Linked DNA regions of Drosophila melanogaster. The gene in region 3 interacts genetically with the main gene of each other region. Each region holds a gene or a part of one and is shown on either strand. Other genes may lie near its edges. The genes, in order: MTF-1, ry and ZnT35C.

Region 1 (6,882 bases), on a different chromosome or scaffold from region 3:
CGGAGATTAACCAACTTCATATCGGATCGACCCAGCATGCAGCACGCCGGCACCAACATCATCATTAATGTATCGAGCCGTGCTCTGTCGCTAAGCAACGTGGAAACGGGCGAGGTTATAGCCAATCACAATATGCCGCGCATATCGTTCGCGTCCGGCGGTGACAATGACACCCTCGACTTCCTCGCCTACATAGCCAAGAATGAGGATGAATGGCGGGCATGTTATGTCCTGGAATGCGCTGGCGGCCAAAGCGAGGATCTAATAGTGACCATTGGCAAGGCGTTTGCCTTGCGCTTCAACGCTCTCAGTAGGCTCAATGATCCCTCGGCGGATTGTAACATCAATCAAAGCTGCAAGGAGAATGTGAAGGAGTACTACAACGATTTGCCAAACAAGCTGCCACCAGAAGTGCCGGAACCACAACAACAGCAGGTGCAGCAACCTCTCCATCCGCATGCGCCTCGTGTGGCACAACTGAATCTGAAGAAGCCTCGCGATCGCCTGAGCAGCAACCTCATCGACCTCAACTCCCCGCCTCCCGATCAGACGACCAATAAGTTAGGCCACTTTGATCCCCTCCAAGCGACCACAGCTGCCAATTCTGTTTTGCCCTCTGTTCGCGATGTGTTCGACGGACCGCAATGCCCGCTCACAGCGGAGGTGTGGTTCCATGCGGGCATATCCAGACCAATATCGGAGCGTTTGCTGCAGCAGGACGGCGACTTTCTGGTGCGCGAGTCACAGGGAAAGCGGGGCCAGTACGTACTAACCGGATTAGAGGGCAAGACGCCCAAGCATCTGCTTCTCATCGATCCCGAGGGCGTGGTCCGAACCAAAGATCGCATCTTCGACAGCATTAGCCATCTGATCAACTACCACTGGGCACACGCGCTGCCCATCATTTCGGAGGATTCCGAGCTGGTCTTGCGTAATCCGGTGCGAAGACCCCAGCAGGATCAGGCTGCGTCGCCCATTACATCAGCATCTTCCTGAACCGGAGGGAACAATCATACGTATAGCTACCACCCATCATATACATAACAAATAATTATATATACTGGCATCAGCGTACACGATTAGATTTAAATATTGTGCACTCGTAGAATATCTTTTATATATCGTCTGTGTAAAAACGAACCCATATATTTATGGATTGAATATAAACATATTTACAAATATGTGCATGTCTACAGTATTTTCCATTCGAATGCGAATAAAGATGATAAACGGAACACAGACTTGGGGTTCTTGAATTTAGATCGAGTTTCCTGCCTGGTGAGCCACTTTGGAAACGATGTTCACTTTGGATATTTTTCAATCGAATACGCATAATTAATTGAAACACAAAAACATACACTTTAAATGCACTTCACACAAATTTATTGTGATCCCATGCAAATCAGAACATCATCATCTACGCGCTATACAAATCTTAGTTGCGACGACCAAAGTTGTTGGTGTTGGGCTGGGTGAGCTGCAGGCCACGGATGTTGTGGAAGTCCAGAAGCTTCAACATCTCCTTGGTGTCGGCGTCGACCTCGATGATGTCCTGCTCCAGAGCGGAGACGGCCGGGACGTAGTTGTCACGACGCTCACGCTCCTCCTCCTGCAACTTGATGGAGATACCACGCACCTGGGAGTGACGCAGGCGGCCCATCAAATGGGTGACATAGCTGGAAAGGAATTTGGGGATTATAGATCCACTCACTAACGAGATTTGAGCGGCACTTACCCGGCAATCTTGTTGCGCAGGGGCTTGGTGGGAATGATGGCCACCTCCTCGCAGATGCGCTTGTTGGTGTGGAAGTCCAACGTCAGGCGAGTGTAGTACTTCTCGATGATGACCTTAGCGGCCTTCTTCACCGTCTTGGTTCGTACGCGACCCTGTGGTAGTTGATAAAATGTTTAGTATCACGATAGTTCAATCCATTTTGTTGTATCTTTGCGATAGTTTTCTGTCACAACTAAATAGTTATTTGCAGCTGATTTTCTGAGATAGTTGCGGCATTTTTCGGGGACTTTTAATGTAAGAGGCCTTCACTCGGTTTTAGTTTAGGTTTCTTTTAAAGTTTCCGTTTGAATTGCTATTTGGTATTGATATTAAGGACGGTTTCAAGACGCCGGATACAAATAATTGCTTTTGGGGTAACAAAATTGGCACTATGCACGTGGGATAAGCGGCTGTCGTTGCCGTTTTATGCTTGTTTGACCGCTTTTTGATTCGAGTTCAGCCAGTTTTTCGTTGGTACGTACCATTATGTTGCTCGATGGATATTTTAATCACCGCTAAAATGAGAAATAAGCAATTATTTTTAAGAAAAACGTGGAGAAACAAAATTTGTGCACATACCTCGCCGGAAACGAAAGAAAAAGAAGGATGCCGTGTGACCAGGGTGGTTGTGTGAAAAACATACTAAAATATACCGCAAATATACCATAATTATGCAAATCTCGAAGGTAGATGAATTAAATAGAAATAAGAGAGGACTTGAACCTTAGAACACATTATTTAACAAAAACCGCATTATTGTACTAAACATTTTAAATGAGACTATTGTACAGTGCAATGGTACCTAAATATGGGCTAGAATACTTGTTATGAAACAAACTCTTTTTTATAAGAAAATATATAAAATCTTTAAAAATAAGTCTATTCGGCAGTATATTGGTTTCGCAAATTTATTCATTCTTTAAATTAGAACACCTTAGTTTCAATTTCACACCACGCTTGGAGACTCCGCCTAAAACTCTACACGCGGTTTGAGTCCCCACTAAGCGGTGTCCCCTTTTGCGTTCCACTATTTTCGGTATATCCCAGTTTATGGTATATTTCAGCCAGAACCGCGTTATATTTTGTCGTTCCGCCCATGGTCACACTGGTTCTTATCGTTGTTGCTTGTGCTTTTCGATCGCGGATGTGTGCTTTTCGATCTCGCGATCTCTAATTTCTTTAGCAATCTATATATATGTACATATTGCACGGTGGCAGCAGAGAAAGAGAATAACAACTGCATATCATATGCGATATAGCAAGCGTTTGTCTTAGTGTGCGTGGGTGTGCAAATAACAAATAATACGACATGAACGACCAAGAGAAACAACACCAGCAACAACAACAACACTACTTCCACAGCGAGTGGAAGACTACCGCTAATAGTCATGGAAATTCGTTATCAGACAGCCGGGATTATGATACCAACTCGTCGCGCAATTCGCTTTCCGGCTCCCCGCCCGTCACATCCAATTGCTCCTCCTCTGGTTCCCTGGACTTCGACAGGCCACTAGCTCAGTTGCTCGAACCGAAATTGGAGGCCGACGGGCTGGGCATCATCCATGGGGACAACTACAGCATCTACGGCAGCCAGACGGCGGAATCCACAAGTGGCGAGCAACAGGTGCTTAATCTGGGCCTCACCCTTGATACGGGGGACGCCCAGGCGACATATGGCGACCTATTCGGTGCCCAGGATCAACTCACTGCATCTCAAACTCATGGCCATTCACAAGTTGTTGTATCTGCGGCAGCGGACAACGCTTTTTCGCTTGCGGATCAACTAACACCATTGCCCATCACGGTCATACCCATCACATATCACCATACCACCGAGAATCTCAGCTCCAGCCACTCTGAAGTTCCGCTGATAGCCAGTCTGAGCGATATCACCGCCCAGGTGTTCAATCTGGATGACATCTGCTTCACGCTGGAATACCAGTTCGAGAACCAGAGGCTCGTCCAAGTCCAGCCGCCCACTGTGGTCTCGCTCAGCATGGTGTCCAGCCCCAACGAGGCTGCAAATCCTCCAATCAACTGTGATAACGACCAGGGAACTGGAAACAGCATCTCTAGGGACTCCACATCCAATTCTCCAGCTTATTTCACAATTGAGACGAGGTATTCCCCACTTGCACGTACACCCACCGCTGCATGTGTATTTTATGATTTGCTTGTATTTGGAATGTTTTTTTGCTTAGGCGTGGTGTTTTATAGATATGATAACAACAACCCGTTCTGGAATTGCAATATTATTCGTGTAGAAAAATGTAACTATAATTTTATATAGATTCAGAACTATATATTGCCTTAAAAAATCGGTTCTCGAAACTTCGTACATATGTGTGTATGCATATTGTATATATATCGAAGCAAGAATTTTGCCATATATTTTAAACAAAATTCAAGGAAAATTATTGAATTCAAAAAATCAAAATAAATCATAAGTCTTGGCAAAGCATTTTATTTGAGATATTGAATTTGGTTCAAGCTTTGAGCACATAATTAATTCATTAAATTTATGTTATGATTAGAGCACAGAATTATGAAATATTAAAAATATATACACTTTTTTGCCGATATTATTTAATATTTAATTTTATGCCAGTCCTTGAAATCGTTCGATTGCCTTACGAAAAAAATCACTTAATTTCGATTTGGTGCAAAAGCCAGAACGGGAATAATAATTGCATATTTTTAGTGTCATGTATGAGTGGATTTGTGCTTGGTGCTTTTGTCGTTTTTTGGCCAATTATAGTGGGCCGTCAGGTGTGCCTTGCCCTCCGCATTCTGACCCCCGCCAGGGACACCACCGCCCCTCTTCGCTGCTAATTTTCCACTGCCCACACACAAAAAGATTCTCGAGAGAGAGAGAGAGAGAGCGCGGAAAAAAGGAAAACATTTGCCTAGCGTCTGTCGTGACGTGTCCGATTTTTTTTTTAAATTTTATTTCACTTTTTGTTTGGCTGCCCACGAAAAAAAAGAGGCAAAATCGAATTTTCATATTTTCTTCCTTGTCGAGAATTTGTGTTGGCAAATTTCAAGCGTTCCAATGTCCACTTATTACAACGCGGTGTCCGAATCGCTTGCAAGTTGCTTGCTAATTGCCTGATTTGTGTTCTCAGCCTGTTGCATTTCTGCGCGCTTCAATCGACTCGACCAGCGCATACCCTCGTCGCAAACATCCAATATTACCGAGACTATGTGCCAATGGGCATCATAATGGCTGCATGCCTTTGGGCCTCCACTTCGGCTGATGATTGTATCGAAAATCATTTGTTTGGGCCAAAAATAGTTGCGGCGATGAACGCATTTAGATTTCTACCCCCACCCCAAATGCCAAGCAGAATGTATAGATGGATATACATATGCATACATAGATGTATATTTCTACAATGTGTTAGGCGAAGACGACCGAAAATTTCCCCGAAACTCATTAACACTTGATGTAAAGAAGCCGGTTTTCAAAAGAATCCAAATTGTAGTGGCTTCTATTGTGAAATTCTCCCCCAACAAAGTGCGATTTGGCACTATAAAAAGTTTTCTCTATATATTCTATTTTTCCCAAAGGGTAAAAATCGTAAATGTCTCAAAGGTCTTTATTCTCTAGAAATAGGCTAAATAACATGTACAGCTGATAGGGCTTTTAATATAAATACAAAGCAAATCAGTTCTCCCGAAACTTAGTTAACAACTTTGTGATAAGTCACGAATGCTGAAGGGTTTACACAATGTTTACTCACATTTCAATAGATATGGATGATACAGGAAATCGACTGATAAAATGTACAGGGTAATAGATAGACTTAGACCAGCTGATACGTAAAGTACCCGATTGATTGAAACCCTTCAAAAGATATGCGGAATCGGTCATAAACTAAATTTTCCCGCGACTAAGTCCAAATGATCTGTTGTGATGGGCTTAGTTCGCTACGTTCTACATTGTTGTTGCTCTTCGCTAGCTCATTATTCTGCGGTACAATAATTTTTCAATTTTTCATCCGTGCCTTGCTTGTTGTGTTCCTTCCTTCCTGCCGTGCTCCCCGTTCGGCGACGACGCCCTCTTGCTATTTTTACCGCCATGAGTAGTGTTCCCTCAATCATATTTCTCATTTTTCAGTACTCCCATGATTAGAGGGGGCGGGGGGAGGGGCATCTCGATGGGTGAGCCGGTGGCAAAAGGGATGAGGAAGGGTCCGTGGGGGACGCACGCTGCCCGTCAGTCAGCATGCCAGCCGTCTCAGCGCCCACGCACTTGTTGTTCTGCTTCCCTCGGCTTTTCTTTATAGTTTCTGTTGCCGTCTGCTATTTTATTTTGCCATTTGTTGTGTTTTGACCATGACAACATTAAATATTAATTAATCTGATTAATAAGGACAGAAGAGCCCTCCAGGAAACGGCTGTTTATTCGATCGCCTTTACGACTTTGTTTGCTGACGCTCTAAACCCACTAATCGCAATCTGTGCAATTTTCATTCATATATATATATATATTTGTATATATGTATGTACATATACTTGTTGCGTTTATAATTATATACAAAGATCTTAACGGCCCACTGACACACAAATCGGATGGAATATACATATGCCCCGCCCGATGCGATTTTCTGTTTGTTTCCAACTGCAAATTCGATAAATTTCCCCCATGTTGGTCTCTTTACCCCGCTCGGCCGAATCTTCCAGCTATGTGGATGAGTACGATCCAAATGAGCCGGACGAGGACGAGCAGCTGGCCCACTGCATCCAACCGGGCGTGCTGCACCAAGATGTCGATGAGGAGGAGGTGGAGAGGCAGGACGAGAACGATCAGCTAATGGCGTTGGCCTACGAGGTACACACACCCAATCACCAACCGCTAGTTCAATGTCTAACGTGCCTTACGTTGCCTAACGCTTTTTGTAGCTACTCGCCATCCTAATCCTAGTGTTAGCGGAGAATCCGATTCCTGTGATTCCGCTGTAGGCGTGTGTAGCCAAGTTTTGTTAACCATCTTTAGCGGTGCGTAGTATCTGCTTATTTCGAAAGGCTGTCCCCTAACATATCACTCGGACCCAATGTTCAGCATGAATCCATTTCATCATAATTGTCTCATTCTAAAGAACATG
Region 2 (10,066 bases), on a different chromosome or scaffold from region 3:
TCAGCAGATCGAAACACTTTTGCTTCATGGCTAACGCGTTTCGCTGTTGGCTTTCTTTTTGCCTGTCCAACTGGTCCTCATACTTTTGAATAAGCCTCTGCTTAAGCTTCTTAATCTTCTCACTGATAGTGTCTTTTAGGAAAGGCTTCTGGCTTTCGTAGGCATGTCTGCACATTTTCTGCACTATTTGCTTCAGTTCGTAGTCCATATTCTTAAAATGATCATTAAGTTTCTCATCGTCCGCAAATGGCGCAAATATTTGCGATATTAAATGATCGGGAAACGTATCGGGCGTTTGGGATTGCAGACTCTCTCGGGCTGCTACCATTATTGTTTTCTTTATGCTCTGACTGAAGCTCAGCTTTTGGCTGCTCTGCAATTTAAGATTCTCGATCGTTTGCTTCTGATGTCTTGTTTGAATTTGCAGAACAACGAGCTTCAGTTTGAGCTCATTAACCTTGCGATCCAATTGGTCGTGCTCATCTATGAGGTTCTTTTGCTCGTAAATAGCTCTCGAAGGAAACTCATCTTCTTCCGATTCTCCTATATACTCCGGATTTGTGAAGGAAGCGCTTTGATTACCCATTTCGGTTAACTTGTGGTCCATATCCGTGTCCTGCCCGTATGTAGAGAGGTCTACTTCTTTTTCCGACCGCTGAAACTTTTCTGCTTTCGAGGAGAACGGGTGATTCTCCTGGAAGACGTGGCCCTCCGTTCGCGGATCTCTGCTACTCAGGATCTTGAGGGCTTTGTATAGGTTTGGATGCTTACCATTGCACGACTTGTAGGCCGTGGTGGACAGCTGGTGATCCAGGGCGCTGTCGTAGAAAGTGTTGTCGCCCACATAGATGCTGTTTCTCTTGTCCGGCGAGGATTCAAACGACGTGGAGGCGGATACGTCCATGGTCGTGTTCAGTTGGGTCAGTTGGAGGCCTGGAAGAATCGGTTGCTAGTGGAAATTCGGTTTCGGTTGCTGGCGAGGCGACGTTTAAACATCTGGCGAAGAACTGTGGAGTACCCAGAGTTGAAGAGCGATTATCAGAGACATGTATATAGATAATACGTTTGCCTTACTCTCTGCAAACTGCAAATTTGTTTTACTTTTCTGCCTACGTGTCGTACATTGCCAGTTGATTATGTTCAGTCGGGTTTTCTCGACTGACTTTAAAGTCTGCGCCACACACGCACACACATTTGTGCTCCACATATTTGCCTTAGAATTTGTGTAATTCACCTGGGCATTCTGTGTTTTCTTAATTTACTCACCTGAAAATTTGTGTTTAGTGTGGGTGTTGTTGCACTGCTGGATGTTTGGGGCACATTGGCAGAGGCCTTAATTGACGACTGTCTGCTGATTGAAAACTCAATTTGATTGGCGCTGATTACGTTTTTGATTCAATGCGTGCTCTTAATTTAAATAAAAACCCAAAAAACTAAAGAAATTAAATTGTGATTAAATTCTTCTTGCTAGCGTCGACCAGTGTTGCCTAATGCTTAAAATGCAATTATAAGAGCGACTCTAGTGCAAGAAACGAGTAATCGATTCTGGTTCGATAGGCAACGACTTCGATAAGGCGCAAATTAAACTAGTTGTAAAGGTTTTACGCTATATGTTGTATGCAAGAAAATCAACATAATTTAGCTATAAATATAGGCTACACTTATTTTTAATTATAAGTCCAAATTTCTTAGTGCATAGGAGTGGAATAACTAATTTTATATCAGTTTTTGGAATGCCCCTAACATGTCCGTGGTATTATTATTTAGTAACGTCAGGGTCACACTTTTGTTTTGTTTTGCTTTGCAACTTGACTTTTAAAATTGCAATTGCAGCATGGCCGAAGAACCCGAGGAACCCGCCAAGGTATGGATTACATAAATCTATTGGACATCAGGTGCCTGATTAAGCTTTAACTATGTTTAATCTCCCATAGAGCTTCGTTATCTTCGGACGCGATGTGGCGCAGATCCCGTGCTTTCGTAACAGTTTTCTCTACGGAATCAGCGGAGGAATCGGCATCGGCTTGCTGACTTTTCTGGGCACCTCGCGAACCCACCTGTCCACCCACGTGGGCTTCGGCTCCTTCTTCTGCGGCACCATCGCCTACTGGATGACCTGCAGGTAAGTGACTGTGATTAAAACCGTGCGGCGCCCTTATCACTTAATTATCAATGTGGCATCCGCAGGTATCAATGGTCCGTCAGGAGATTCGAGCAGCAGCAATTGCGTGAGGCGATGAGACGACAAGCCCTTTATGAGGGCACCCAAAGGGAGAGAGACTTAGATCTGAAGTCGGCGTAGCATAAGTCAGATCCTTCATTACTACTTCGATGTTTGTTTTCACTCTAGGATACCAAGTAATCCTGGCATTGTTAAATCCCTTGTGTTGTAAACTACCTTTTGTTACCAAACTTTATAGTAGCCAATATATTATATATATGTTGTAAGTGAAATCTTAGCTTGCCACTCGTAGGGAATTAATTATGCCACCATCTTTGATTTGGGATTGACAGAAATCAATCCATCATTTTAATGATTGTGGTTCCTAAAACCTGTTGGGCTTTATTGTGCTTTCGATTTGATTTAAGCTGATAGAGCTAGTTGTTTACTTTTGAAGAACCTTGAACCCATTTTGACGACCTTTTAACTTTTTAATAGTTTTTTTTTACCATTTACATAAAAGCAAAATTTACAGTCTAAAAGTTGTATATTCAATACGTTCTGGTACGTAAAAGGGTTATTTAATGCACCATTTTTACAACTTTAGATAGTATACTTTTTACTTGAGTGGGAGCCATATCACAAAAATGAAATGAAAGGTTAAAAAAGTATCTAAAAGTAAGTTTCAATTAATATTCTGAAAAATAATTGCATTTCATGTACGTTTCTCTGAAATACCCCTAATTCGATACTATTTATAAATCTGGAAGATATATAGCTAGGAAATAGATTTATATATTTGCCTAGTTTGAACACCTTGTGAACATTTTGTTTAAAAAAAAAGCGTATCGTGGTACTAGAAAACTTTAAGATACAGATAAATAACTTCACTATACCGAGGTTTTGGTGTTTCTTGAGACTGAAGGACAATCTTCAAAATGGTCTTAATTCTTGAGATAGAAAAGCTGCAGTTCTCATGCTGAATAGTGATCAGTACGATTTTATCTGACAGATTGCTTTCCTAGCTGACCACACCGATCTCGGATGGGTATCTGCTCTAATCCGAGATAGCAGGTAGTAGAACTGCTGCCTCGTAACCCCTAGACATGGCCATTTCCACGCACATGTAGGCGATCCTGCACTCGTCGGTCGCTCGTCTTATCTCACAAAAATAAAAGTCGGCGTTTGGATGGATTGCTCGGCTGGCTGTTGGCACATTCATTACGTTTTCGTTGACGGCGCGAGACGGTTGTGTTGTTTTTTAATCGGCGGGCACATGAGGTTGTCGGTTCTCTAATTTTGAAATAAAAAACTTGTTTTCGCTTTACATTCAAGGAACGCACCTCCTCCCCTCCATATATGTAAACGAGCTTCGTAATTGCAGGCTAACACTTATATAGGCATTGGTACTGAGATACAGCGAGATACCGTGAGCTACAGATACATAGCACTTCACGATGTCTAACTCGGTTTTGGTGTTTTTCGTGAATGGAAAGAAGGTACTTAAAGATACTCGGATGCCTTGCGTGTCTTTCCTTAAAGTCGGCCCACTCCTACTATATCGATTCCCTTTATTGTTTTATTGCCCTAATTGCGTTTAACTGGCATTCGATGGAATTTGCCTTCTTGCTCAATTGAATGTGTCGAATGTATATAGTATTTGCTGTGCATATAGTGATAACAATTGACCCCCATGTGAAGCCTCGTTGTTTGCTGGTGGCCCCTTATCGCCCGATCAAGATGGTGCACTTGCCAATCGCGCATGGGAGCAGTGCTACTCGGATGTGGGTGAGCTGGGATCGTCATGGGCATTTGTGTCTGCCAGATAGCCAGGCCCTCTAATCCGCACATTCCCACCGGCTGTGCGGTGTTTACAATCCAGTGAGCTCGGCTGGATTATTCAGATAAAGCTGGCCATATTTAGCATCTGGTGTTGGTGGAGTGCAGTTGGAGTTCTTTACTTTGTGCTCACAGCTTGCGCACAAGTGAAGTAAATAATAATAAATAACCAGTTGCTCGTGCGCCCGGCATTTGATAGTGATAGATAGCAATCTCTGTTTGCTCAGGGCTGGCAGAGCAGATAACACTTTCGCTGTTTTAAGTTTAAACAAAGTCACAGTTTTGACAAACAATTGCTTTAAACCATATAAACTTATAATTATAGCAATTATAATTAAGTAGGTACAGATCTTAAAGCTACAAGATACAAGATACAAATTTTCCCATTAATGGATAAATGGCATTAGATACTTTTGGGAAATTGATTTCGTTTTTTTCATTTTATTATATTTATACATTTCTTATTCCAGGTGACCGAAGTGTCGCCTGATCCGGAGTGCACGCTCCTCACATTCCTGCGCGAAAAGCTGCGGCTGTGCGGAACGAAGTTGGGATGTGCGGAAGGCGGATGCGGCGCCTGCACCGTGATGGTGTCCCGCCTAGACCGTCGGGCCAACAAGATACGTCACCTGGCGGTCAACGCCTGCCTGACGCCAGTGTGCTCGATGCACGGATGTGCGGTGACCACTGTGGAGGGTATAGGGAGCACCAAAACGCGTCTGCATCCGGTGCAGGAGCGACTGGCCAAGGCGCACGGATCCCAGTGCGGCTTCTGCACGCCGGGCATTGTGATGTCCATGTACGCACTTCTGCGGAACGCGGAGCAACCCTCTATGCGAGACTTGGAGGTGGCATTCCAAGGTAACCTGTGCCGCTGCACCGGCTATCGACCCATTCTCGAGGGCTACAAGACGTTCACCAAGGAGTTTGCCTGCGGAATGGGCGAGAAGTGCTGCAAAGTTAGTGGGAAAGGATGCGGAACCGATGCGGAGACCGATGACAAGCTCTTCGAGCGCAGCGAATTCCAGCCCTTGGATCCCAGCCAGGAACCCATCTTCCCACCGGAACTTCAGCTGAGTGACGCCTTCGATTCTCAGAGTTTGATCTTTAGTTCGGATAGGGTGACCTGGTATCGTCCCACCAATCTGGAGGAGCTGCTTCAGCTGAAGGCCAAACATCCGGCTGCCAAGCTGGTCGTGGGCAATACGGAAGTGGGCGTTGAGGTTAAGTTCAAGCACTTCCTCTACCCGCACCTCATTAATCCCACCCAGGTGAAGGAGCTGCTGGAGATCAAAGAGAACCAGGATGGCATTTACTTCGGTGCGGCTGTCAGTTTGATGGAGATCGATGCGCTTCTGCGGCAGAGAATCGAGCAGCTGCCGGAATCGGAGACCAGATTGTTCCAGTGCACCGTGGATATGCTTCACTACTTTGCCGGCAAGCAGATCCGCAACGTCGCCTGTTTGGGTGGAAACATCATGACCGGTAGTCCCATTTCCGATATGAATCCTGTGCTCTCGGCAGCAGGAGCTCAACTGGAGGTGGCCAGTTTTGTGGATGGAAAGCTCCAAAAGAGATCAGTTCACATGGGAACTGGGTTCTTCACTGGCTATCGCAGGAATGTTATCGAAGCCCACGAGGTGCTGCTGGGCATCCACTTTCGGAAGACCACTCCGGACCAGTATATCGTTGCTTTTAAGCAGGCCAGGAGAAGGGATGATGACATAGCCATCGTAAATGCCGCAATAAACGTTCGCTTTGAGGAAAAATCCAACATTGTGGCGGAGATCTCGATGGCTTTTGGTGGAATGGCACCAACCACAGTGCTCGCTCCTCGAACTTCCCAACTGATGGTTGGGCAGGAGTGGAGCCACCAGCTCGTGGAGCGCGTGGCGGAGAGCTTGTGCACGGAGCTGCCTTTGGCTGCCTCCGCTCCGGGTGGCATGATCGCCTATCGTCGAGCTCTGGTGGTGAGCCTGTTCTTCAAGGCCTATCTGGCCATTTCCCTGAAGCTGAGCAAGTCAGGGATCACATCTTCCGATGCTCTGCCATCGGAGGAGCGAAGTGGTGCCGAGACATTCCACACACCAGTACTCAAAAGTGCCCAGCTCTTCGAGCGCGTCTGCAGCGATCAACCCATCTGTGATCCCATTGGGAGACCAAAAGTTCATGCGGCTGCTTTGAAACAGGCCACTGGTGAAGCTATCTACACAGATGACATTCCCCGCATGGATGGTGAAGTTTATCTGGCCTTTGTCCTTAGTACCAAGCCACGTGCCAAGATCACCAAGCTGGATGCCAGTGAAGCTCTGGCCCTGGACGGAGTGCATCAGTTCTTTTGCTACAAGGACTTAACGGAGCACGAGAACGAAGTGGGACCCGTCTTTCATGATGAGCACGTCTTTGCTGCTGGAGAAGTGCATTGCTATGGTCAGATAGTGGGCGCCATAGCTGCCGATAATAAGGCGTTGGCCCAAAGAGCCGCTCGGCTAGTGAAAGTGGAGTACGAGGAGCTGAGCCCGGTTATCGTGACCATAGAGCAGGCCATCGAGCACAAGTCCTATTTCCCGGACTACCCTCGATTCGTGACCAAGGGCAATGTGGAGGAGGCTTTAGCCCAGGCGGATCACACTTTCGAGGGCACCTGTCGAATGGGCGGACAGGAGCACTTCTATCTGGAGACCCATGCTGCATTGGCGGTACCTCGTGACAGCGATGAGCTGGAACTCTTTTGCTCCACGCAGCATCCCTCGGAGGTGCAGAAGCTAGTGGCCCATGTAACCGCACTTCCTGCCCACCGTGTCGTCTGTCGTGCCAAGCGTTTGGGAGGCGGTTTCGGCGGCAAGGAGTCCAGAGGCATCTCCGTGGCCCTACCCGTTGCCCTGGCCGCCTATCGAATGGGTCGTCCTGTGCGCTGTATGTTGGATCGCGATGAGGACATGCTTATCACCGGCACCAGGCATCCCTTCCTCTTCAAATACAAAGTGGGCTTCACCAAGGAGGGTCTGATCACTGCCTGCGACATTGAGTGCTACAACAATGCCGGTTGGTCCATGGATCTGTCATTTTCGGTAAGAGTGGTGGGTTTATGGAAAATCCATATGTAGGTTTCTTTATGCATACCATGTTTGCTCAAATATCCATGTGTTGTATTTTCCATTGAACATCTGGTTAGTGTGGGAATTTCTAGGACCCCTATATGTTATCATCCTGAGTGCAAATAGTTTGAAACTTTTAAGAATGTTTAGGTCTAATCAGGAAAGCAAGCACCAGGATTATATTGACATAAACAATTATAAATAATAATCTAAAAATTCTTAAAAATGATCTAATATATAAATCCTATGTTTAGGTTCTTGAGCGCGCCATGTTCCACTTTGAGAATTGCTACAGGATTCCCAACGTTCGCGTGGGTGGATGGGTCTGCAAGACGAACCTGCCCTCGAATACGGCCTTCCGTGGATTTGGAGGACCACAAGGCATGTACGCCGGTGAGCATATCATCCGGGATGTGGCCCGGATAGTGGGTCGCGATGTGGTGGATGTGATGCGGCTGAACTTCTACAAGACTGGAGACTACACACACTACCACCAGCAGCTGGAGCACTTCCCCATCGAGCGGTGTCTGGAGGATTGCTTGAAGCAGTCGAGATACGACGAGAAGCGGCAGGAGATTGCTCGATTCAATCGGGAGAATCGCTGGCGGAAACGCGGCATGGCGGTGGTGCCTACCAAGTATGGAATCGCATTTGGAGTGATGCACTTGAACCAAGCGGGATCGCTGATCAACATCTATGGTGATGGATCCGTGTTGCTTTCGCACGGAGGAGTTGAGATCGGACAAGGTCTGAATACCAAGATGATTCAGTGCGCCGCCAGGGCTCTGGGGATTCCTTCGGAACTGATTCACATTTCGGAAACGGCCACGGATAAAGTACCCAACACTTCACCCACGGCGGCGAGTGTGGGATCCGATTTGAACGGAATGGCCGTACTGGATGCGTGTGAAAAGTTGAACAAAAGACTGGCGCCCATCAAGGAGGCATTGCCTGGAGGCACCTGGAAGGAGTGGATCAACAAGGCGTATTTCGATCGGGTCAGCCTCTCGGCCACAGGATTCTATGCCATGCCCGGGATTGGATATCACCCGGAAACGAATCCCAATGCCCGCACCTATAGCTACTACACGAATGGCGTGGGAGTCACTGTGGTAGAGATCGATTGCCTGACTGGCGACCATCAGGTGCTCAGCACAGACATCGTAATGGACATCGGTTCCAGCCTGAATCCGGCTATTGACATTGGTCAGATCGAGGGAGCATTCATGCAGGGCTATGGACTGTTCACTTTGGAGGAACTCATGTACTCACCACAAGGCATGCTTTACTCCAGAGGTCCGGGCATGTATAAGCTGCCAGGATTTGCCGACATTCCCGGGGAGTTCAATGTCAGCCTACTGACCGGTGCCCCCAATCCACGGGCAGTCTACTCTTCCAAGGCAGTGGGTGAACCTCCGCTCTTCATTGGATCATCTGCATTCTTTGCCATTAAGGAGGCCATTGCAGCTGCTCGCGAGGATCAGGGCTTGAGTGGTGACTTCCCACTGGAGGCGCCTTCCACATCGGCACGCATTCGAATTGCTTGTCAGGATAAGTTCACGGAACTGGTAAGTTACCCTTGGATTAGTTTATAACATTAAACTAACTTTTATTATTAATTTATTAATTATAGCTTGAAATACCCGAACCAGGATCATTTACGCCATGGAACATTGTGCCTTAAAATTGTTTTTATTGTTTGTACTGCTTAAGCATTTAAAATGACGATTTTATTTGTTAATTTGTTTATATATACATAGTGAATTAAATGTTTTAAAAATAATTGAGTCGTTTAATGTGTAAACTAAGCTGGAGAGCTGTTTGAACAAATTTATATACCACTGATTAATATTAAATATTCCTTTTAGATTAAGAAAAATTCAATGGTTACTTTTTTGTTCTATCTATTATTCAATAGAATCTCGTGGCATGCAATGCATTCTGATTTTCAATTGAAAAGTCTTAGTCACTATTTATTTTGAGTATATTAATGAAAGTTGAGCAAGTTTTCCGATGAATTGAAATATGAGTTCCGATTTCGGCGCGACTGCTAACCGAAAATATAAGCTCAATCAAAAGAAGCTTTGTATGGAACTCAGGTTATGAGACGAGATCTTCGCGAGCATCTCAGTCGGCAATCTGACGTCGTAGAGCTCGGACATCCGAGATGGGAAAGCTATCATTTGGATACAGATTGATTTTAGAGTTCGTCTTAATTTCGACGTTAGCGTTCGTATCGGCAGAACAATTGTTGCTATCACTACAACCATTATTACAATAGATATGCACAGAATGCGCCTTGGAACGCAGTGGCTCCATCGTATCTATCGATTGACATATACGGAAATTGCCAAGCCCACGATCGTCCGCTGATTGGTAAGTGTGTGCGGTACGTGGATTGCATTAGTGCCATGCAGGCAGTGCCCCGGGTGACACCACTACTCTGTCCGTCATCGTGGCCCAATCAGTTGGTTTGCTGTCCACACGGCGGATACTTGTTGCCGCCGCCCAGCATCTCGAAGAGCGAACAAGGTGCGTATGAAAGGAATTCAGAGAATCCAGAACTTATATCTTTTGCCAGCCTGTGCCAATGCCTATCCAAGAGCTCATCACAAGCGCCGTCGACGCCGTCGGAATACGAACCCTAAACTGGATCAAGTGGAACTAGTTGAGCCAATTATACAAAAGCACAATCAGAGCCAGAATTTACTGGTGGGCGGCAGACTCACCCAGGAGAACGAGCATCCGTATATGGTGAGTTTTAAGCAATTAGGAAAACAGTCCAAAATCTAACCTTATGAAACTTATTTGCCTTTGAAACAGTAAAAAATTAGCAATCTGATATTGTAAGCCATTTGGTAGATTAATAAAGATTTACATTCGATTCAATTACAGTGCGCCCTCGGTTGGCCGTCCCGCACAAACAGATGGATTCATGAGCACGGTTCCAGCAAGCGCAGATACACGT
Region 3 (7,196 bases):
CAATGTTTCTTAACCTAAACGTACGAATGCATGCAACCGACTATACTGGGCCGTTATTACAAAGTGGTAAAAAGTGGTAAAAAGTGCTGGCAACAAATGGATGGATGGATATGAACCAAATGAAATGATTTAAATGTGACTTCAAAATTGCACATTTTTGTAAACCTATATTTCGATTAAATATTAATTTCTAGTTTATTAAATATTAATTTTTAGTTTATTTTTTTTTTTTTAATCGGGTCATTTAATCTTAAACGAAGCCCAATGTGCAAGGGTGCAAAATCACCTCCCACAAATTAAATTAATTTCGTGGGGTAATTATGGATTTGCATAATAGCTTGGCCTAACCAACATTAGGCCACTGGTTGAAAAAGCACCACGCGTTTTTAATTTGCTTTGCATATTGTTCGAGGATGACATGCGAAACTATAAAAAAATCAATGTAATAATAAATACGTAAAAAAAAAGATTTATATTAAACATTTATATGTGTGGAAAAGTAAGCTTTTTGTCTGAGGAATTTTATTACTGCTTCTAAAAAATGCCTATTTCTTACCAACACGTAATACACATTCAAGCAAACGCATTTTAGGTTTTTTCAAATAATAAAAATAATGGATACCCTGGACTATCTTATACCCTTTACTCAGCTGAACGGACGTGCTTGGCTGAATCGTCATGGCTAGTCAATCTGATTATGAACATAAATACTTAAAAGAGCCAAAAACGAATCATTGTACTGTTACATACTTTTCCCCGAATCCAGCATTCCCTTTTGCTTTACACATAATGGGTATAATCATTGTACAATGTGAATATGTTTTTTGTTTTTAAACTTTCTTCCTGTTTTAGGATATTAGATAACGACTATGTTTGCTATTGTGAATTGACACTATCGACATTCTTAACGTTTTGACAAATCTGGTTAGTTAGTGAAAGCGATTAAGTTTGGGTTTGTGCTTTTATGGACTAGTGGCCACATCGTTATGTTTACCTAAAATCTAGCACCGGCTCCTTGGTCGTAGTTGGGGACGAAATACCGAGTCCGCCCACCGCCCCAATCAGGTCGTCATCCTCCTCGCCGTTTTCGGGACGCGAAAGTGGCGCCGCCGAGGTGCTGGCCTCCAGATCGCCATCCTCCAGATTGCGGCTCAGTTTCTGGCGTTGCACAGGCGTTATGAGCAGGAGCAGCTGCAGCTCGTCCTTGTGCAGCAGCTCATCGGCGTTCAGGTGCTTCAGCTGCTGGCCAATCAGCTCGCTTAGGGTCACAGCTGGCGGAGCGGAGGCAGTAGCTGCCGCGGAGGTGGCACCGGAACCGGAAACGGCAGCCGACGAGGCGGTGGAGACGGGAGCGGTGGCTGCGGTGGTGTTGGTGGTGGCTGCTTTGTTGTTCCCACGCGCAGAGGATGTGGAGGAGGCCATCACTTGGTGGCTGTTTGGTGCTTGTGGCTCGCTTTTTTCTGGTCTCGCGCTCTCCTTCCGTTCAGTTGGCCATGGCCATCTATCTGGTCACTGCCGCGGCGGCAGTCCGGGCGAATTATCGGCTATCAATTCGAGTGCACAACGCCCCGACATCATTGACTAATAACGCTAGCTAAACTTTCACGAACTCCCGCACGTTGTGGCCTTCATATTGATTTTTTTAAAACATCGCCACTCGTGCCAGCGATGCGCGAGTCGTAACGGACCTATCGCTTAGGGATGACACTTGCCAGTTACCGTTAATCTTGGGGATGGTATTTCAAGAATATTCTATCCCATATTATGCATTCACCAATCCCAATGAATTAAAAAAGTTGTGAACCCTGTACCTATGAAATAAATCTTATCTTATTATATACCCTGCCCAAAACATTTTTACTAATATCAAATCTTTAAGTTCTTCTTATCGTTTGATCTTTATGCTTGAAAGAGTTTAAAATATATATTTCTAATTTTAAACTTAGAAAAGTTAGAATAAGGAAAAACGAGTTTGTAGCTTTTGAGCATTGTTATTTTATTAACCTTTCAAATAAACCACCTATTGTACAATATTTTCCTATATTTGTAAAGCCAGGGCTTCATTTAAAAATACCAACATCAAACTGTTTTCAGCTATCTGGCAGCCCGAGAATAAGCGCAAAATTCAAAAATTCTAGCGAGTGCTTTGCGCCCATTCACATTCTTATCTGCCGGCTGGGTAAACCTGCTCTTAAAAGCAAACTGATCCCGTTGGTTGTCTTACCGCACGTTACCATCATTGAACGGTCCGTGTGCTATATTCACACTTGACATATCATACCTCCTGCTGATAAGAATGGGCATCTTTCTTCCCCTTTTTCGTTTCACATTGCACGCAGAAAAATGTTGGCACAGTATTAAAATTAAAAGTTTTTATTTCCTTAAAAAAGAAAGTACTAAACCCAAAGATCTGATATTCTGTTGATAACTTTATCAATCATTGTTATATCTATGATGAATCTACCTTGATTTACATTTGTTTAATTTTTAATTTTAAATCTTTATTTTGAAATCCGCTTTGGCATTATGTAATTTTCAACAATTATAATTATGCGGATTATATTATTCTATATAAAGATATTATCTATCTATATATTATCATTATATATATTATTATTGGGACGAATAATGTTTACCTTTGCTTTGGAATATATATACCAGTTATTTTTTTTGAGTGTTTTGTTTCTGCTTTATTTTAGCTTCTAGACTGATCCACCCCTCCTCACCTCCCTCGAAGTACAAACACATGCATTGCACTCGGCTCTCGCCGATCTGAAAGTTGTAAGTTAAGATAACCACGATTATCTACTATTTGCTTGAATCTTATCATTCCACAGCCTCTGTGAATCAGTGGAGCATATGGGATCTTATAAGAAACACTTGTCGGTGCGGTCTTGTGTTGTAACGTGTGGTGTTAGTGTGTCTTGTTGAAAAAATATAAAGTGAGTTAATATTCGGAAATAATAATGTCCAGGAACGAGGATACACCGATTGCCAAGTAAGTTATGGGATGCTGGGAAAACGGTTTATCGCCTGACTTCCTGGGCCAAAGTTTGCGCAGCGCAAAAAGTTGGCCGAATATAAAATCTCTTTTGGGCCAAATTAACATAAAGCGCCAAATGAGCTGCTGATTTGTTAAATAGGCGTAAGAGCGGACCGCGTGGGAGCAGTGACAACTGTCGGGTTCCTGGAGTCTTGGGATTTTCTAGGTGCGCACAGGCCTCCAAAAGTTGGATCGAAAGCTTAAAGTGCGACGGCTAACGTATTTTGCTTGCTGTTTTTTTTTCACTCGTTTTTCTTTTTTTTTTTTTGATTTTTTTTTCTTCCTTTGTGCAATTGCGTTGGAAAGTTGCAGAGCAAGTAGTTTAGCGCCATTTGCACTTTCCGTAGTAAAAATTACGCGCACTTGCTCTGGCACACCCACGCCCACCAACGCACGCCCACCCACGCACACACACACACCCATGCAACATGAGAAACTTATCAACGGGCACATCACACGCACACACACGTGCTGCTGATGAAGGCGGCGTCGGCGGAGTGGGCGTGGCCTTTAAGTAGTCATCGTAGTTTGCGTTAAGTAACAAAACTTCAAATTGAATTTTTCGCAGCACTTTTCATTTTAGCACCTATCAAAAAAACTCCTTTTTTCGGTGCATTTCGCCTCGCTTTCCAAAGCATCAAGCTCATTACAGTGGCAACTGCCTGCTGATGGACGGTCGGTTCGGTGGGGCTTATGGCAGTCAATGGCCCCACTGTACATTGTGTCTGCTTAAATGCCGCAGTGTTTTGTTGGCACCGGCAACGCTACGTTTTAATTCTCTGCCGGGGTTTTTCCAGTCGAAGCTGCCACGGAAAAACTTTTCTTGCTGTGGCTGCACTTACTTACTTCTCATTCTTTTGGGCGTCTTGCACTTGTTTACCGTGGAAAACAAGTGCATTTCTATAGAAACTTGTGCAGAATAAAACTAACGAATGGCACATTTTAATTAAAGAATTAGTTGGGAAAACGTTATATATTGTTTAGACCACATTCCAAACTTGTTTTGTGATGCACACTTGTAAGATTATTTCTAGTGGAACATCATAAGCTAAATATGAACATTTTGATTAAAACTAAAGCATTTAGCGTTTACAGTATGAAACTTATGAAACTTATCGGTATAATCTTGAGTTTTCCATCGAGTAACCATCTTCTTCTTCTGCAGACGCGACTCTGGACGGACGCGCCGTAGCAACTATGGCACGGCCCCATCCTTTCACCTGATGGAGCAGGGACAACCAGGTGTGAACGTAGTCGCTGGCAATGGCAACAACAATCACCCGGCAACGCCTGCAACACCTGCTCAAATTTTTTGTTTACACGGGCGGTCCAACAACGTCGAAGGTGAGTGAGGCAAGAAGGGGTTAAGTTAAGAGGGCCTGAAATGGGGTGAAAAGGGGTTGAAAAGGGGCTGCGAGGGGCTGAGGGGTGGGCTTAAAGCGGTGGCAAGGTGACTGTGACAAACGGCGGGGCACTTTCGTGTCGCTTTCAATCAGGTCGGACTGCCTCGCAGCAATTTGCAGTCATTCATAAATTATCAAGAAAACGCAGCAGGCAGCGGCATTTTGCACTAAAAGTCAAATGCAAACAAATCAAATTCGACAACAACGAAAATCAACCAAATTAGTTTTCACATTGTTATTTTTCCGTGTGTGTTTTCCCCACCACCCCCCCCACCCAATTTTTTAGGGTACCGAAGCTTGATTGTTCCTAAGCGCGGATCGTTGATTGTTTGCTTTCCTTAATTTTTTTTTTTTTATTCGGGTAAAATCGAAAAACTCGCTGCAATCTACTCGTGTTCGGACCCAAATGTATGGGTGACTGAGGAGCTGTAATATCGGGTAAATGCTCGCTAATTGGCAGACGGCACGGAAATCGTCGGAAATGAATGATGCCCGGCTATATAGGAATGCGGCAACTTCGCTGGATAAAAGCCGCTTGGAAATGCTGCACGAATATGGTGAGCAAACAACTTACCACCTACTCGAAGCTTTATTTCCGCCCATTCCGCTCACTATTCGCCCATACACCAACCACCCACAACCGCCCCTTGTCCCCGCGCCCAGTGTCATCAATCAGCTGATGATTCTCGAGGTTGGCAAACCAAATTATGATGGAAACTGGGCCGGCTAGCCGGAGAGCAATCCGCTGTCGCCGCCGTAGCCGCCGCCCAATCCGCCCAATCCACCCAATCCACTCCCCCCCATCAGCATCTGTGGCATAATCAAAATTTATGCTCTTTGCTGACACACCGCTGCTGGGAGCAGACCGCATCCCACCACTATGGCCATATGTCATAAATCGCCCGAGGAGCCAGTGTAACGCTCGCCATAATTTACGTACGACATCGTCGATGGACCAAATAAATGTTTGAATCATTTTTTTCATTCATTGCCATCATACATAGGGTCAGAAACCGAAAAATCGACGTGGCTATCTCAAGTTTATATTTTAATTTCCTGCGCTTCGGCTTTGAAACTAATCGCATACCCTGTAGGAAAGGATTTGGTATAAGTAACGACTGCATTCTCGGAAGCACTCAATATCAAAACTTCAATTATCAGCCATCTGTTCAATTACATATATAATACAATAGCTATGCCCCATTTTACTGACAGAAAGTACATTTAATGAGTATGCGATAGTCGCAAGTAGCGCAGGAAGAATGGTTCTGCTTTTTTGGCGATGATTCGATTTATTGGCAGACGAGCTGGGCCCAAAATGAAATTAACTGGCGTCTAGACGAGGTGGATCCGCTACTGAAAGCTGCCTCCATCCTACACTGCCACACACAGCGATATATTCTCGTAGTATATAGTATATATATTATGCAATCGTCTTGGGGCGCTCGGTGCATTCAATCATGGCTTGAGTTAGTGACTCCTATTAGATAGCTCAACTAGCCGAGTGCAGTTCGATGCAGCTGCATTGATTTGCTTTGGCCGTAGTTAGTCGTTTGTAAAACGCGCTCCAGATGGGTCCATTCGCAAATGCTGGAATACTAAGCAGTTCGAATAGGTCCGTGTCCATTGTTCCCTCGAGTGAACGTCTTCCCTCGTTGTTATCGCCGCGTGCTCCGATTTCCTGGTTATGGATGTGCTCAGGCGGAGTGAGGCGGACCAGAGCAATGGTAACTTGCTAATTAGGACAGGAGATGATGTGGCGTGGAAATATACATAGTATATCAGATGTGAAGTTATAATCAACATAATGAGCGCGTAATCAAATATGCTGAGCCCTCGTTAGCCGAAAGTCTGATTTGGTTTCATGAGGTATTCACTTCATTTGATGATATAAAGTTTGGGTATAGTCAGGTGTTTATTGCGCAAACAAAGCGCTTGCCTAAACAGTTAACAAAATCCAACAGCTCTAGCAAAGAAAGTGAAATTAAAATTATTATTAATATTAAATTATTAGAATTTTAAAAAGAAAGAATTTTGATGGAAATATTTTACTTTGAAAGCACTGGAAAATGATAAATAATATGAGCTTCAATTTGAACTATTTGAAATACAGAATACTAGGGACTTATATTTTTCCGTGTAACAAGTGCTTAATTATATAAAAGATGTTTCCAGCCATCGGATTGGATCATCTTTAGATCTCAGCTGGCGTAGATTCTGGGCACCTGTCCAGCTATTGGTATTGATATTTGCACATAATGGAATTGCTTTTGTCGCGTATTTATTTCTATCCAATTAATGCCTGTGCGCCGGCACCTAGCCATTCCCGTTCCCATTCCCTTGGCCCAACTGATGCAAGTGATGCCTGCGCCCTGCCATCCATTAATTATTTATAAGAACAAGTACAGAGCACAATTGTTGCCATGGCAGAACCAGATATGGATGTGAAGAAGGAGGAGAGAGCCGCACATCAGTGAATGTGGCGCCCATATCCACCGTCTTGCAGCAGCCCCCCCCCCCCCCCCCCCGGAATCCCAGAACATTAACCTCAGCTCCCCGGGAGTCCAACATACTTTCCGCATTGCGCAAACAAACAAGGCGAACGGAACGAGACCAGAACGGTCCAAGGCGACCAATTAAAGATGCAGATGGATCGGAGTTGTTTAAATTGCAAGTATGACGATTCTTATGCATCAGCTGGCCGCACTGGCTGCTCCACCGGAGGTGGAAACCTGAACCTGAAAACTCGA

What was found.
Region 1: of ZnT35C (region 3) and MTF-1, changing one suppresses a phenotype caused by changing the other (phenotypic suppression), as found in Drosophila melanogaster (one study listed by BioGRID).
Region 2: of ZnT35C (region 3) and ry, changing one suppresses a phenotype caused by changing the other (phenotypic suppression), as found in Drosophila melanogaster (2 studies listed by BioGRID).

What each region holds. Positions count from the first base shown.
Region 1 is NT_037436.4:9,427,439-9,434,320, forward strand, and holds the start of MTF-1 (metal response element-binding transcription Factor-1), read left to right. Parts: upstream 1-2,873; 5' UTR 2,874-3,083; coding exon 3,084-3,895; intron 3,896-6,247; exon of another isoform or gene 6,248-6,460; coding exon 6,461-6,608; exon of another isoform or gene 6,609-6,882. Other genes in the region: Shc (SHC-adaptor protein), read left to right, coding at 1-996; RpS17 (ribosomal protein S17), read right to left, coding at 1,436-1,676, 1,736-1,887, 2,257-2,259.
Region 2 is NT_033777.3:13,029,148-13,039,213, forward strand, and holds ry (rosy), read left to right. Parts: upstream 1-3,380; 5' UTR 3,381-3,618; coding exon 3,619-3,660; intron 3,661-4,470; coding exon 4,471-7,071; intron 7,072-7,352; coding exon 7,353-8,666; intron 8,667-8,731; coding exon 8,732-8,782; 3' UTR 8,783-8,873; downstream 8,874-10,066. Other genes in the region: CG46280 (uncharacterized protein), read right to left, coding at 772-904; CG46281 (uncharacterized protein), read right to left, coding at 1-607; l(3)87Df (lethal (3) 87Df), read left to right, coding at 1,835-1,864, 1,935-2,122, 2,188-2,302; CG11668 (uncharacterized protein), read left to right, coding at 9,266-9,327, 9,380-9,630, 9,680-9,852, 9,994-10,066.
Region 3 is NT_033779.5:15,243,365-15,250,560, reverse strand, and holds the start of ZnT35C (zinc transporter 35C), read left to right. Parts: upstream 1-2,846; 5' UTR 2,847-2,966; coding exon 2,967-2,998; intron 2,999-4,208; coding exon 4,209-4,387; intron 4,388-4,600; exon of another isoform or gene 4,601-4,888; coding exon of another isoform or gene 4,889-5,003; intron 5,004-7,196. Other genes in the region: dao (down and out), read right to left, coding at 995-1,422.